Linked DNA regions of Xenopus tropicalis. The protein of the gene in region 3 purifies or fractionates together with the protein of the main gene of each other region. This does not show direct contact. Links are inferred from orthologs where the notes say so. Each region holds a gene or a part of one and is shown on either strand. Other genes may lie near its edges. The genes, in order: scaf1, ctdp1 and polr2g.

Region 1 (3,656 bases), on a different chromosome or scaffold from region 3:
TACCCCTTTTAAGAAATGCTTTAAATAATGGCAGTAAAATCGGACAGGTGGTTCAGCTGCAGGGGGGGGGGTTCTTTACTTAAGGCTTTGGCACATGGGGCAAATGGGGCACTTGTGCAAGAATTTAGATAAATGGAAGTTTCCATGAGATGCTGGTACAGGTATAGGACCCATTATCCAGAATGCTCGGGACCAAGGGTATTCCGGATAAGGGGTCTTTCCGTAATTTGAATCTCAATACCTTAAGTCTACTAAAAAATCAATAAAACATTAATTAAACCCAATAGGATTGTTTTGCATCCAATAAGGATTAATTATATCTTAGTTGGAATCAATTACAAGGTTCTGTTTTATTTCTACATAGAAAAAGGAAATCAGTTTTAAAATTCTGAATTATCTGATTAAAATGGAGTCTATGGGAGACGGGCATTCCGTAATTCGGAGCTTTCTGGATAACGGGTTTCCGGATAAGGGGTCCGATACCTGTACCTCTAATTGTCGACTGCCATGCCAGTTTCCTTTATGTAATATGCTTATTTTATTGTTTAGATTCAAAGCAGAAAGGCACAGAGCTGCCGAAGCCCTGTAGGAAAAGGAAAGTAAAGAAGCACAGCGGTGCTGGGAATGCAAAACCTCTCAGTGCAGAGAATGAAAATTCTGTATGTATCACATTTCCTACGCTCATCCCATTTACATGGCACTGTAATCATGTATAATAATAATTCTTAATTATCATCATCATTTATTTATGTAGCCCCAGTGCAGCTAAGCAGCACTTTACTAATAATGTATTACAAACAGGAGTCTTACAATCATTTAACAAACATGGGTTAGAAAATAAAAATGGCACCAGAGGGCCCTCACAAGAGCTTTAATCTGATCTTTATTTTCTCTAATCCTCTCAGATCCCTGAAACAGCAGGAAATCTCTTGGCCAGTTTTGCCGCTGCATTGGATTACATGGAAAAGACCAACACTACCATCACTGCAGGGTCTCATAGCCGCCCATATGAGGAACAAACTATCGAGTTGGGAGCCAGGTAGTAAGTAACAAATCACTTTTCTTTATTTTTCCCAACGTGTTTCATGTTGCAAAATAGCAACTTTTTAGTTGGACTTTATATTTCTTCTGCCACTTTCCAGCTTTCAATGACCCCTGCAGCCAAAAACCTATTGCTCTATGAGATCACAGTTTTAATGTTGTTACTCTTTATTACTTGGTTTATTAGTCAGCTCCTATCCTATTCATATAAGAAAAAATAAATAATGAAGACTAATTGCAGATTGCCTCGGTATTGACTGTGATATGTCAGATTTATTTATACAGTGAGGCCCAGTATACAGACCTCTAGTGTAATCCTTTCCCCTTATGAATATAGAACTGCCTCACTGAATAACTGCTGTGTTTTAAATCATCAGCGACGCAGAAGAGGTAGATGAATTTGAGCTTGTAGCTGAAATTCAGATCGGTGACATTGCATCTTATTGGAATACTCGTTCAGGGATCTCCAGGAGGGACAGACATTGGAGAATTCAGAAGTCAGGTGAGCCGGAAATAACATATCCTGTGCCTTAAGCATCGCCTAACCCCGCTTACTCATTATGTACATGCAAATGGCGTAAGATCAGGCTTGCATCTACAGACTCGCTTATTTTGTACATGCGACTTGCCCAACATGGCCACCTGCCATTATGGACAGTGAAGTATTCATTAAGGTTGTGTAGCTCCAGGTAAATAGAGCATCTGGGAGTTCACTAGTACTGCCTTGCTGTACTAGTTTTATCGATAGGGACTTCATTAAAAAATGAAGAAACTAGTAGTAAGTGTACAGTATATTTATTGGTAGTGGATGTCATTTTTTTAATTTTATATTTGTTCTTGAACCTGTTTTTGGGCTGGACTGTAATGATTGTGGTCGATGCTACTGAGCATAGGAACTAAATAATCTCTCCAGACCTTGTCAGTTGGCTCGACCTTTGTCCAATTTGGCCACCCATCTGCTAGGCCAAAACAGATTGTTTAGCTACTTGGCCAACAAGCGGATCCTAACAGACCCAATGTGCAAAGATGCCCCCATATTGCCTCCCTGTGCAGTTGTTGTACATTATAAAACTAACTGATAGGCATTTTTCTTTAATATCATGTTCTTTTCTGTTGCAGTGTGCCTAAGTACCTCAGGACTACATGTTACAAGTGGACAATCAGCCTCTGTCAGTGCAAAGGTTATGTGTAACCCAACAAGAATGGAAGGCTCATTGGAGCCTACCAGAAGTTCTTCAGTCATAAGACTGAATCCCCCACAGACATTTCACAGGAGTAGAAAACACACAGATAGAAATGCTCTACAGAATGTTTGCATTGCAGACAGAACGGACTTACAAACAAATTCACAGCTTCATACTTCTACCGAAACTGTGCTACCTGGACTTTCTTGGATTGTTCCTGATCCAAATAAATCTTTTAGAGGATCTAGAGGGAATAATGGCCTTTGTTCTGGCAGGACTACCCCAATACATGGCAATACACAAACAACTGAACCTAGTCCTGGTTCATTTATATCTTTGGGCCTTGCCCTTGGAAATGGAAAAGGGGTATCGAGTGGACAGCAGAGACCTGGTGGTTCAGAAAGCTCCACATCTAATCAGCATTCACAGCCTCCTAATTCTCTGGAAAAGGCAGATTCCAGCTCCTCTTCATCTTCCTCCTCTTCTCAAATGCCAATACTGTCTGGCAGTGGCAGTGGAGCACAATCTAACCAGTCCCAAGAACTTGATATTTATGATCCCTTTCACCCCACAGATGAGGAGAATGTAAACGGAGATTATTTATATGATGACACACCTGAGAAAGAAACAGATGAACAAGAGGATCAAAAATATGATCCCTTTGATCCTACTGGCTCCAATCCTAGCTCTTCTGAGAGCAGCCCTTCACCCTATGATGAGGACGAAGAGGATGAAGAGGCAGGCAGTGAATCACATGCTGAAGGCCGTATCTCAGAAGCTTTGGCTGGAATATACGATGAAAATAGTCTGAGCCAAGACTTTCCAGGTGGAGAGAAGGAGAAGGAAATTCAGTCCTGTGAATCAGATAAAGTCACAGGCAAGGATGGGAATGATGATAATAACGAATATGAAAATGAAAAACCCGACCAGAAACATTCCAGAGAATCCTCAGAATCCTCTGCAAAGGACAACACAAAGTCTGCTTTTGAGCCTTACAGCCCGAGTTCCAGCTTGGATTTAGACAGAGCTGATGAAGTAGAAGATGTTTCGAGGGAAGTATCAGAAGAGAAAAGTATAAAAGAACCACCACTGGCAGACTCGACTCTTAGTGATGGAAACACGTCAGAGGCAGTAGCAGAACCCAGAAGAAGGGTGTTTGCTGTGGATGTTGGCAATGATTATAGTAGAAAAGCAGAGTTTACAACAGAATCCGAATCAAAGTCCAAATTGGAGATAAAGGTTTCACTTGAATCCATTGCAAAACCTGATGTCAAGTCCTATTTGCGGATGGAAAAAATTGTCAAACTTGGAAGTGAGTCACGTAACCGCCACAAACGAAGGCATTCTTCTGAACGGAAAGAGCGTGGAGATGACTCTGACAATAAATATGATTCTGAAATTGAAGAAGGGGAAATTGTTCAGCCGGATGAA
Region 2 (3,656 bases), on a different chromosome or scaffold from region 3:
CACAGTAAGTAATTCCTTGTTCATTTATGTCTATTTTTTTATTTTTTAAATAAGCAGATAAATTATTCTATACGTTTTTGATTTTTTTGGAGATTAATTTAATAATCCTTCTAGCTGTAAAAATATAAACAGTCCAATGTGCTGTGAAATTTTATATTTTGCTTGTATTACTATTACATTTGTATTACTATGCATTAATTGTATTTAATAAGCTAATCATATAAAAATATAACTACAGAATACATAACCTTTTTCCCACAACCCTGGTAAGTTTTTCATAGAAACTCCTGGATTTACCAACAATAAGCCATTTTTTATTTCCTTTCGCTGCTAATCACACCTGCATAATGGTTAGAAGGAATTCAAGATCATTTCACCTTGTAAAACTGTTGAGGTTAATAGATTCCACCCATTAATATCTCATTTTGCAGACTTTTAGTTTTATGTTTCAGCTGACTGTTTAAGCTGTTTTGATACTGATATATTACTTTAACTAGGTGATGCAAGACATTCACCTAAAACAGAGTGCATGGGGTCAGGTATCCACGGGTACCCAAGGAATACCCCCAAAGTGGTTGGGTTTCGGGCAGAAAGTCCCCATTTGTCTTGACATTGAGGGCAGTCCGTGGTTAACCCACCTGTGGACCACACTAAGGTGTGGGAGTGATCCCTCGCCTGAGGATACTGCAAGTTTTTTCCCCTTCTGATCTGGCCCCAGAGTGACGTCACTTCCAGTACACAGTGACATCACTTCCAGTTTTGTGGTCTCAGGTCTGAAGGTAAGGTAGTGGGTCTGGGTAGGAGGACATATTGGTTGTCGGGTGCAGGGTTGGGAATCGAGTCAGTGGGGGTCCGAATCAGGCACTGGTCTGCCTTGGATAGACCGTGCAAGACTCTACACCAAACTCTTGCTAAGCTTCATTTGATAAGACTTCCCAGAGATTCTGTTTTTATGCTTTTACTTACATTACTACCATAAAAGTATAAATAATTAGTCTGACAATCTATTTTCCAGACAAGTGGGCTGTTTGGCCAAAAATTGGCAAAATGTGCACTTAAATGCACATATTTAATTTGCAAATCGTGGAAATCTCTAACAGACTGGATAAATTATTTTCTAACATCTAAGACAAAAATCTGTTTAATCACAGGTATTTGTATCCATGAAGTCTGTGTGATGACAGATATATGTATCCATGCATTTTTCTTAAATGGAAAGCCTTATCTTATAAATAACATACATTTGCATATTTGAATTTGAGCAAGATATGAAAATGTAATTATTTGTTAATGTTTTTTTCTGTTCAGTTTTACATTGTTGTGAAGTCATGGCATTACAGGTTCACATTAGGAACAATCTTAACCTGTCATACTAGCCTCATATTTAGGCCAGTTCCAGTAAATATGATTTTGTGATATGTCCCTTATTGTAACGTTTTATTTATTTAGATTACAAAGTAAGAATGGAAAGCAGCAGGTGCCTTATTCAACAGCCACAGTTTCTATGGTTCATAGTGTCCCAGAACTCATGGTTAGCTCAGAAGTAAGTATATGGTATTTTACATTTGGTCTAGAATTCTTGTGGAAAAATAATGTTGCATTTTTTTATTTGCATCAGAAAATATGTGAGGAAGTTCTAATATACTATCCTTGATACTTTTCAAGCACTTAGTTCAATCCCCCTTACACAGCAGTGTAAGGAATACTTGATAACGAAGAGCAAACATTTCTGTTCGGTGTCCTATACTAGAAAACTATGCTATGCTATGCTAAATGTTAGGCACCCCCAGTTATTAAGATTGCTTACCTGATACGCCAGACTGGTACTTCTGTTAGCAGAAAATCTCACCAGCTTGGGGTACATGCAGGTGAGCGATCCTCTTCCTTCCTTTGCCTTTACAAAAAAAAAAGTGCTTAATTTTTTTTTTTGATCACCTTATGGTGCGGTTTCTAGCCATACATACATGGTCAGAATATGGCAAGATGCTTTTAAAAACTTGATAATCCAACCCTATGCCACAATACCATGTTTGTATTTGTATAGAAGAACCCCAGGGAATATCTATAAATCTTTCTTCTAGCAAAGGTGAAAGCAGAAAATAAGAGAGAAAATATTTTGCTTTTTTTTTTTTTTTCTTCAGAAAGCAGAGCAACTAGGTCGTGAAGACCAACTTAGATTACATCGAAATAGGAAACTGGTCCTTATGGTTGATTTAGATCAGACTTTAATCCACACCACGGAACAACATTGCCAGCATATGTCTAGAAAGGTAATTTTGTCTAAACTTATTTGGATTTCAATGATTAACAATTTTCTTAATGGAAGACTGCATTTTGTGAAATAAAAGCTATACTTTGAAAAAAATACTTGAAATACTGTTGGTTTTTTTTTAGGCTAGGTGAATCAGTTAAAATTAATTTTGTATTCCTTGTCATTATGGAAACAGATAATGTTTGGTTTATCTTCCCCACCATTTTTTGCAACCATAGTTAGAAACTAGATCCTGTTTACCCCATTTCCTCATTTTCGTCCGGTCATTCCCTTTTTTCTCCATCAGTTTTCTTCATCTTCCTTGTTTTTTCCTCCACTCTTCACGTTCCTTCTCTTCCTTTGTCCTTTTAATAGCCCCATTATGTTTCTCTCCCTGATATCTTTTTACTTACTATTCTTGGCCTGGAGACATTTTCTCCTCTTTTTTTTCCTTCTTTCATGATGTTCCCTATATTTTTCCCACCCCAGACACTGACCTGCAGCAATATAAATAAATATAATTTTATTTAAATTAAAAAATTCTCTAGGTTATAGACAAACAGTTCATGTAGTGTAGGGATAAATATATTCATTGCATTGGCTTTAAATATACTAAAAACCCTACTCTATACTGGTGATCCTCAAAAAAGGTTAAACCGATCAGTAACTTGGGGTTGTAAAAAATTGAAAGATACAAAACATGACTTCATTCCCAGGTGTGTGTTTTTATCAGTACACGTTACTATAATAACTGAGTTATGTGCAACTTGCTTGCTATGTGCTTACCTGATTTTCTGTTTTGAGTGGGTCGGTAAAAGGATGCCCAATTTCTGTGTCACTGTAAAACAAAGCTAATAATTTCAACATGGATTGAAGTCTTTGCTTATTTCCTTACAGGGCATATTTCACTTTCAGCTAGGAAGGGGAGAACCAATGCTCCACACTCGGCTACGTCCTCACTGCAAAGAATTCTTAGAGAAGATTGCAAAGCTGTTTGAACTGCATGTCTTCACTTTTGGTAGCAGACTGTATGCCCATACTATAGCAGGTGTGCAGTTTTATGCACTTTTGGCACATCTATCTAAAGCCAGTTTATTATCAAGAATATCTAACTGGAACTCTTTCTTATGGGTTAGCAACTCTTATGAGCTCTAATAAGACATAAACATTTTTTTCAGTATATACCTAGATGACTAAGCCAGTCTTACCATGCAGATTTTTCCAAGATGGTATATTTAAGTGCATTTCTGGAAAAGCTAATTGTTTTTCCTTTTTTGAAAATGTATTATTTAGGTTTTAAAACTTTACAAAGTCAAAGAGGAAAGGTTGAGGTAGTACCATTTCATTTGGAATTACAAAATGTTATTGTTTTTCCCCAACTATTTAAGTAGTGTTTAGTTTTAAT
Region 3 (3,689 bases):
TAAGAGGTTAAGTGCATTGAGTATCCCTGAATCATTCATTCATTCAGGCCAACCTACATCCCTGCTGCTGATCCACCACAAATATTAGCATCCTAATTCATGAAATCTGCAGGCAAAGCAAAAGCGAATGGCGACATGGTACTGCTATTTGCTGTTCAAGGAACAGTAACACCAAAAAAATGAATGTGTTTTAAAGTAATTAAAATATAATGTACTGTTTCCCTGCACTAGTATCACTAATCTGTTTTCTTCAGAAAGACTGCTCTAGTTTATATAGACAAGTTGCTGTGTATCAATGGAGGCAATTGAAATAGGGATAAATGGCATGGGGTAACAGTTAGGCAATGTAGAACACCTTTATATGCTAGAGAGCTTATATGCTATCTGCTATGTAAGCTAAGCCTTTTCTCCTTTGAATGGCTGCCCCATGGCTACACAGCAGCTTATTTATATATTAATATAACTATAGTAGCTTTCCTGAAGCAAACACACCAGACTTACCAGTGCAGGACAACAGCACATTATATTTTAAGTACTTTAATTTAGTGTTACTCTTCCTTTAATGTTTCAACAAATGCTACTGGGACAGAAAAGTTGTGTAAAATTCCAGTCTACATTACCAACTTCTAGTTTCCCCTCGGCATGATGCGATTTTAGTTTACAGCAGCAGGAGGACGCTCTCCTAATTTAAATTAATAGACTGTATGACTGCTTTGTGCTGCTCTCACCTTATTAACCTGGGTCACCACGGCATCTACCACCTCACCCTTGAAAGGACGGAAGACAATGGCCTTGTACTTGACGGGATAAAGCACAAACCCTCTCCCTGGCTGAATCACCCCAGCACCAATGTTATCGATTGTGGTCACTGCAATCACAAAACCATACCTGTGAAGAGACGAAAAGGAACATTAAAAATGCATTTATGAAACACGCAGAGTTTCACTATCACTGTGGCCCCCCTGCCTTCCCACAGCCCCTCATTGCAGACCAGTGCTACAGCTCCTTTCCCAAATGGCTCAGTCATTGGCATCAGGCTTGGATGTCAGACCAAAGTCCTGATAGGTGTAGGATAAATGTAATAATGCCCCCGAACTGTCAGAGTCTGGCCCACCCTTTAAGTGCAACATCAACTACTGAGACATTGTGGAAAAAGCTGTGTTAGAGAACAACACAGGCCCATAAAGGGGTTCTGCATGGTGGCAGGCGAAAACAAGTTTGCAGGGAGACAACAGATAATTTATGGGGCTAATAGCGCCACTCAGCAGTACAATGGCACTAATGTGCAGGAGAAAACATACAACTGTTCTAGTGCATATAAATACAGTGTATACATGCAAAACTACTTACATACATATGTACTTACTTGCCAGTACATGTTCCCTCTACCTCAGTGAAGAGTTTCTGTTTGACAGTGTTGAGAAGGTTAGGGCCAAAATATCTAGGGTGCAGAAGAATTTCATGTTCCAATGAGATCTGAGGATTAAAAAAAAAACAAGAAGAAAATGGCATCACATGACTGTGGCCTAACTGGCTGATATAGACACTGATCGGACCATTCCAATGTTGTCCTCTTCGATATCAATTGCTATTAGCTAATTACCAATAGCTATTACTAATAATCCACTAGCTACACCAAAACTTTAGTACTTTAGTGACTATATTATAGTCTGGCCCTCGAGCATGTACTATAGTGAACTGGCCAACTACAGGAAAACAGTTTGACTTATAATATCCCTATATTTTAGAATAGGGGGTACTTAAAAGGGCTGTGGAGTTGGTAGATAAATTCTCCGACTCCGACTCCTCAGTTTCTGATACTTCCGACTCCGACTCCTCTGTTTTTAATATGCTAATGTATTTTATACATTCATTGAAGGAAAGGAAGGAGACATACATGTCATTTAACTACAGAACTACTGGCTCTGCATTGGGCTTTATTCTTATAGCAGAGAAGTAATTAATTATGACTGTTTGTGAATTGGGACATTTAAACTTGCTTTATTTTAATTTTTTTTATTCCCATTTAAATTTAGTAGGAGTCGGTTCATTTCTTGCCGACTCCGACTCCAGGTACCCAAAATTGCCTCCGACTCCTCGACTCCGATTTCACAGCCCTGGTACTTAATTCACTATATAATACACAAAAGCCATGAATATCCTGTAAGTTATATCCTTATAACTGGTGCTTAGTGATGTTATTTCCGTCACACGACTCACACGTGTATTATAATAAATAGAAGGATATTAGAAGTCACCCAGGAGTTCCATCACTCTGCCTTTGGCCTCTTGCTTTAATATGGTCAAGGAAGTCCTAGGTGACTTATAATAGCCTTATATTTTACAACAGGGGGTACTTTAGTCACTACATTATAGTCTGGCCTTCGAGAATGTACTATAGTGAACTGGCCAAGCACATAAAACAGTTTGCTCTATGGTCCAAAAAGGCATATAAGGAGGATCCAGGAGGCCAGGCCAGTGCCTCAGGAACATACAACAGCTGTACCCGACCTAGTAACCCGCAGGTAAAGGGCTTCACAGAAAACAAGCAACACTTACAAAATGATGCAATAAGTCACATAGGATTCTGTACACTTACATAAACACTTACCGCCTGTGATAATTCATGCCCAAAGCAATAAAACAGACACTGGACTTACATGGTAGAACATTCCGTGGCCCCGCAGTCACTTTCTTTGCTGCACGATGTACCCAATATGCTCTATTCCGGGAACAATAAAGCTCGTTTAAAAGGCGGCGCGATTGTATGTCCCCGCTTGTTGGCGTCACACAACAGGAAATGACGTGAGGCAGCGATGTGTGGCAGAACCGGCTCGGCTCCGGGTAATCCGAGGATTCGGTGTGTAATGTAGTGTACTGTAATGTAGAGAATCGAGAGGAACCGAGCTGCGGAACTGAACACCCACCTAGAGGCTACCGGGGATCCCGCTGTCTAGTACGTTGCGCATTGGCTACAACCACTGTCCACAACCAACTCTACAGGCCAACCAGAGCATTGGGGACGGGCCGGAGAGAAAGTGACCAATAGGCTGGCGGCAAGGGCGTGGTTTTCGTGATTTGCTTTGTGCAGGTAAAGAGGATGTCTGGATCACGTGACCGAAAATGAAATGCTGTATTTTAGTTGAAATGTTGACATTGTGAAGCTGATGTCGCAGTGTGTATATAATATACCCTATTGCTATTGACATTTCTTTTAATTAACCAAGAGAGGACTGAGGCTGGAGGTGAAGTAGTTTGCCTGTATCTGAAACAGAGGTGGGAACAACTATTGTATTTTTAACTTCTATTTATTAAGTGGACAGATAAATTTAATATCATTTGTCATCATCTACAATACTCCATTATTGCAAATATTACAGATATGACTTGCATAATTTGAAAGACTAGAGTGTTTGACTGCTTGCTCTGTAAATGTAATGCTGTTTTTCTCTCTTTACTGTTTCAGTCATGGAGTTTCCAGATCACAGTCGCCGTATCCTGCACAGTTTACGTGACCAGCAGTTGCAAGGTTTTCTGTGCGATTGCCAAGTGATAGTTGGTACTGCCCACTTTCTGGCTCACCGCTCTGTCCTGGCCTCTTGCAGCCCCTTTTTTCACATGTCATGCAGGGAGCATCCAGATACACGGGACCTCACCCTAAATAGCCAGATTGTTACAGCACCAGCATT

The links.
Region 1: the proteins of polr2g (region 3) and scaf1 purify together in Homo sapiens (affinity purification with mass spectrometry; 3 studies listed by BioGRID and IntAct, counting the BioPlex papers as one, with this or other methods). This does not show direct contact. The link is inferred for Xenopus tropicalis from reciprocal best matches to the Homo sapiens genes POLR2G and SCAF1.
Region 2: the proteins of polr2g (region 3) and ctdp1 purify together in Homo sapiens (affinity purification with mass spectrometry; 4 studies listed by BioGRID and IntAct, counting the BioPlex papers as one, with this or other methods). This does not show direct contact. The link is inferred for Xenopus tropicalis from reciprocal best matches to the Homo sapiens genes POLR2G and CTDP1.

Annotation. Positions count from the first base shown.
Region 1 is NC_030683.2:110,787,866-110,791,521, forward strand, and holds part of scaf1 (splicing factor, arginine/serine-rich 19), read left to right. Parts: intron 1-549; coding exon 550-659; intron 660-905; coding exon 906-1,042; intron 1,043-1,418; coding exon 1,419-1,543; intron 1,544-2,160; coding exon 2,161-3,656.
Region 2 is NC_030682.2:97,277,067-97,280,722, reverse strand, and holds part of ctdp1 (RNA polymerase II subunit A C-terminal domain phosphatase), read left to right. Parts: coding exon 1-4; intron 5-1,449; coding exon 1,450-1,543; intron 1,544-2,141; coding exon 2,142-2,270; intron 2,271-3,148; coding exon 3,149-3,299; intron 3,300-3,656. UniProt on the Homo sapiens protein: Processively dephosphorylates 'Ser-2' and 'Ser-5' of the heptad repeats YSPTSPS in the C-terminal domain of the largest RNA polymerase II subunit. This promotes the activity of RNA polymerase II.
Region 3 is NC_030680.2:34,586,503-34,590,191, forward strand, and holds the start of polr2g (DNA-directed RNA polymerase II subunit RPB7), read right to left. Parts: upstream 2,941-3,689; 5' UTR 2,673-2,940; coding exon 2,661-2,672; intron 1,477-2,660; coding exon 1,367-1,476; intron 889-1,366; coding exon 729-888; intron 1-728. Other genes in the region: zbtb3 (zinc finger and BTB domain-containing protein 3), read left to right, coding at 3,469-3,689. UniProt on the Homo sapiens protein: Core component of RNA polymerase II (Pol II), a DNA-dependent RNA polymerase which synthesizes mRNA precursors and many functional non-coding RNAs using the four ribonucleoside triphosphates as substrates.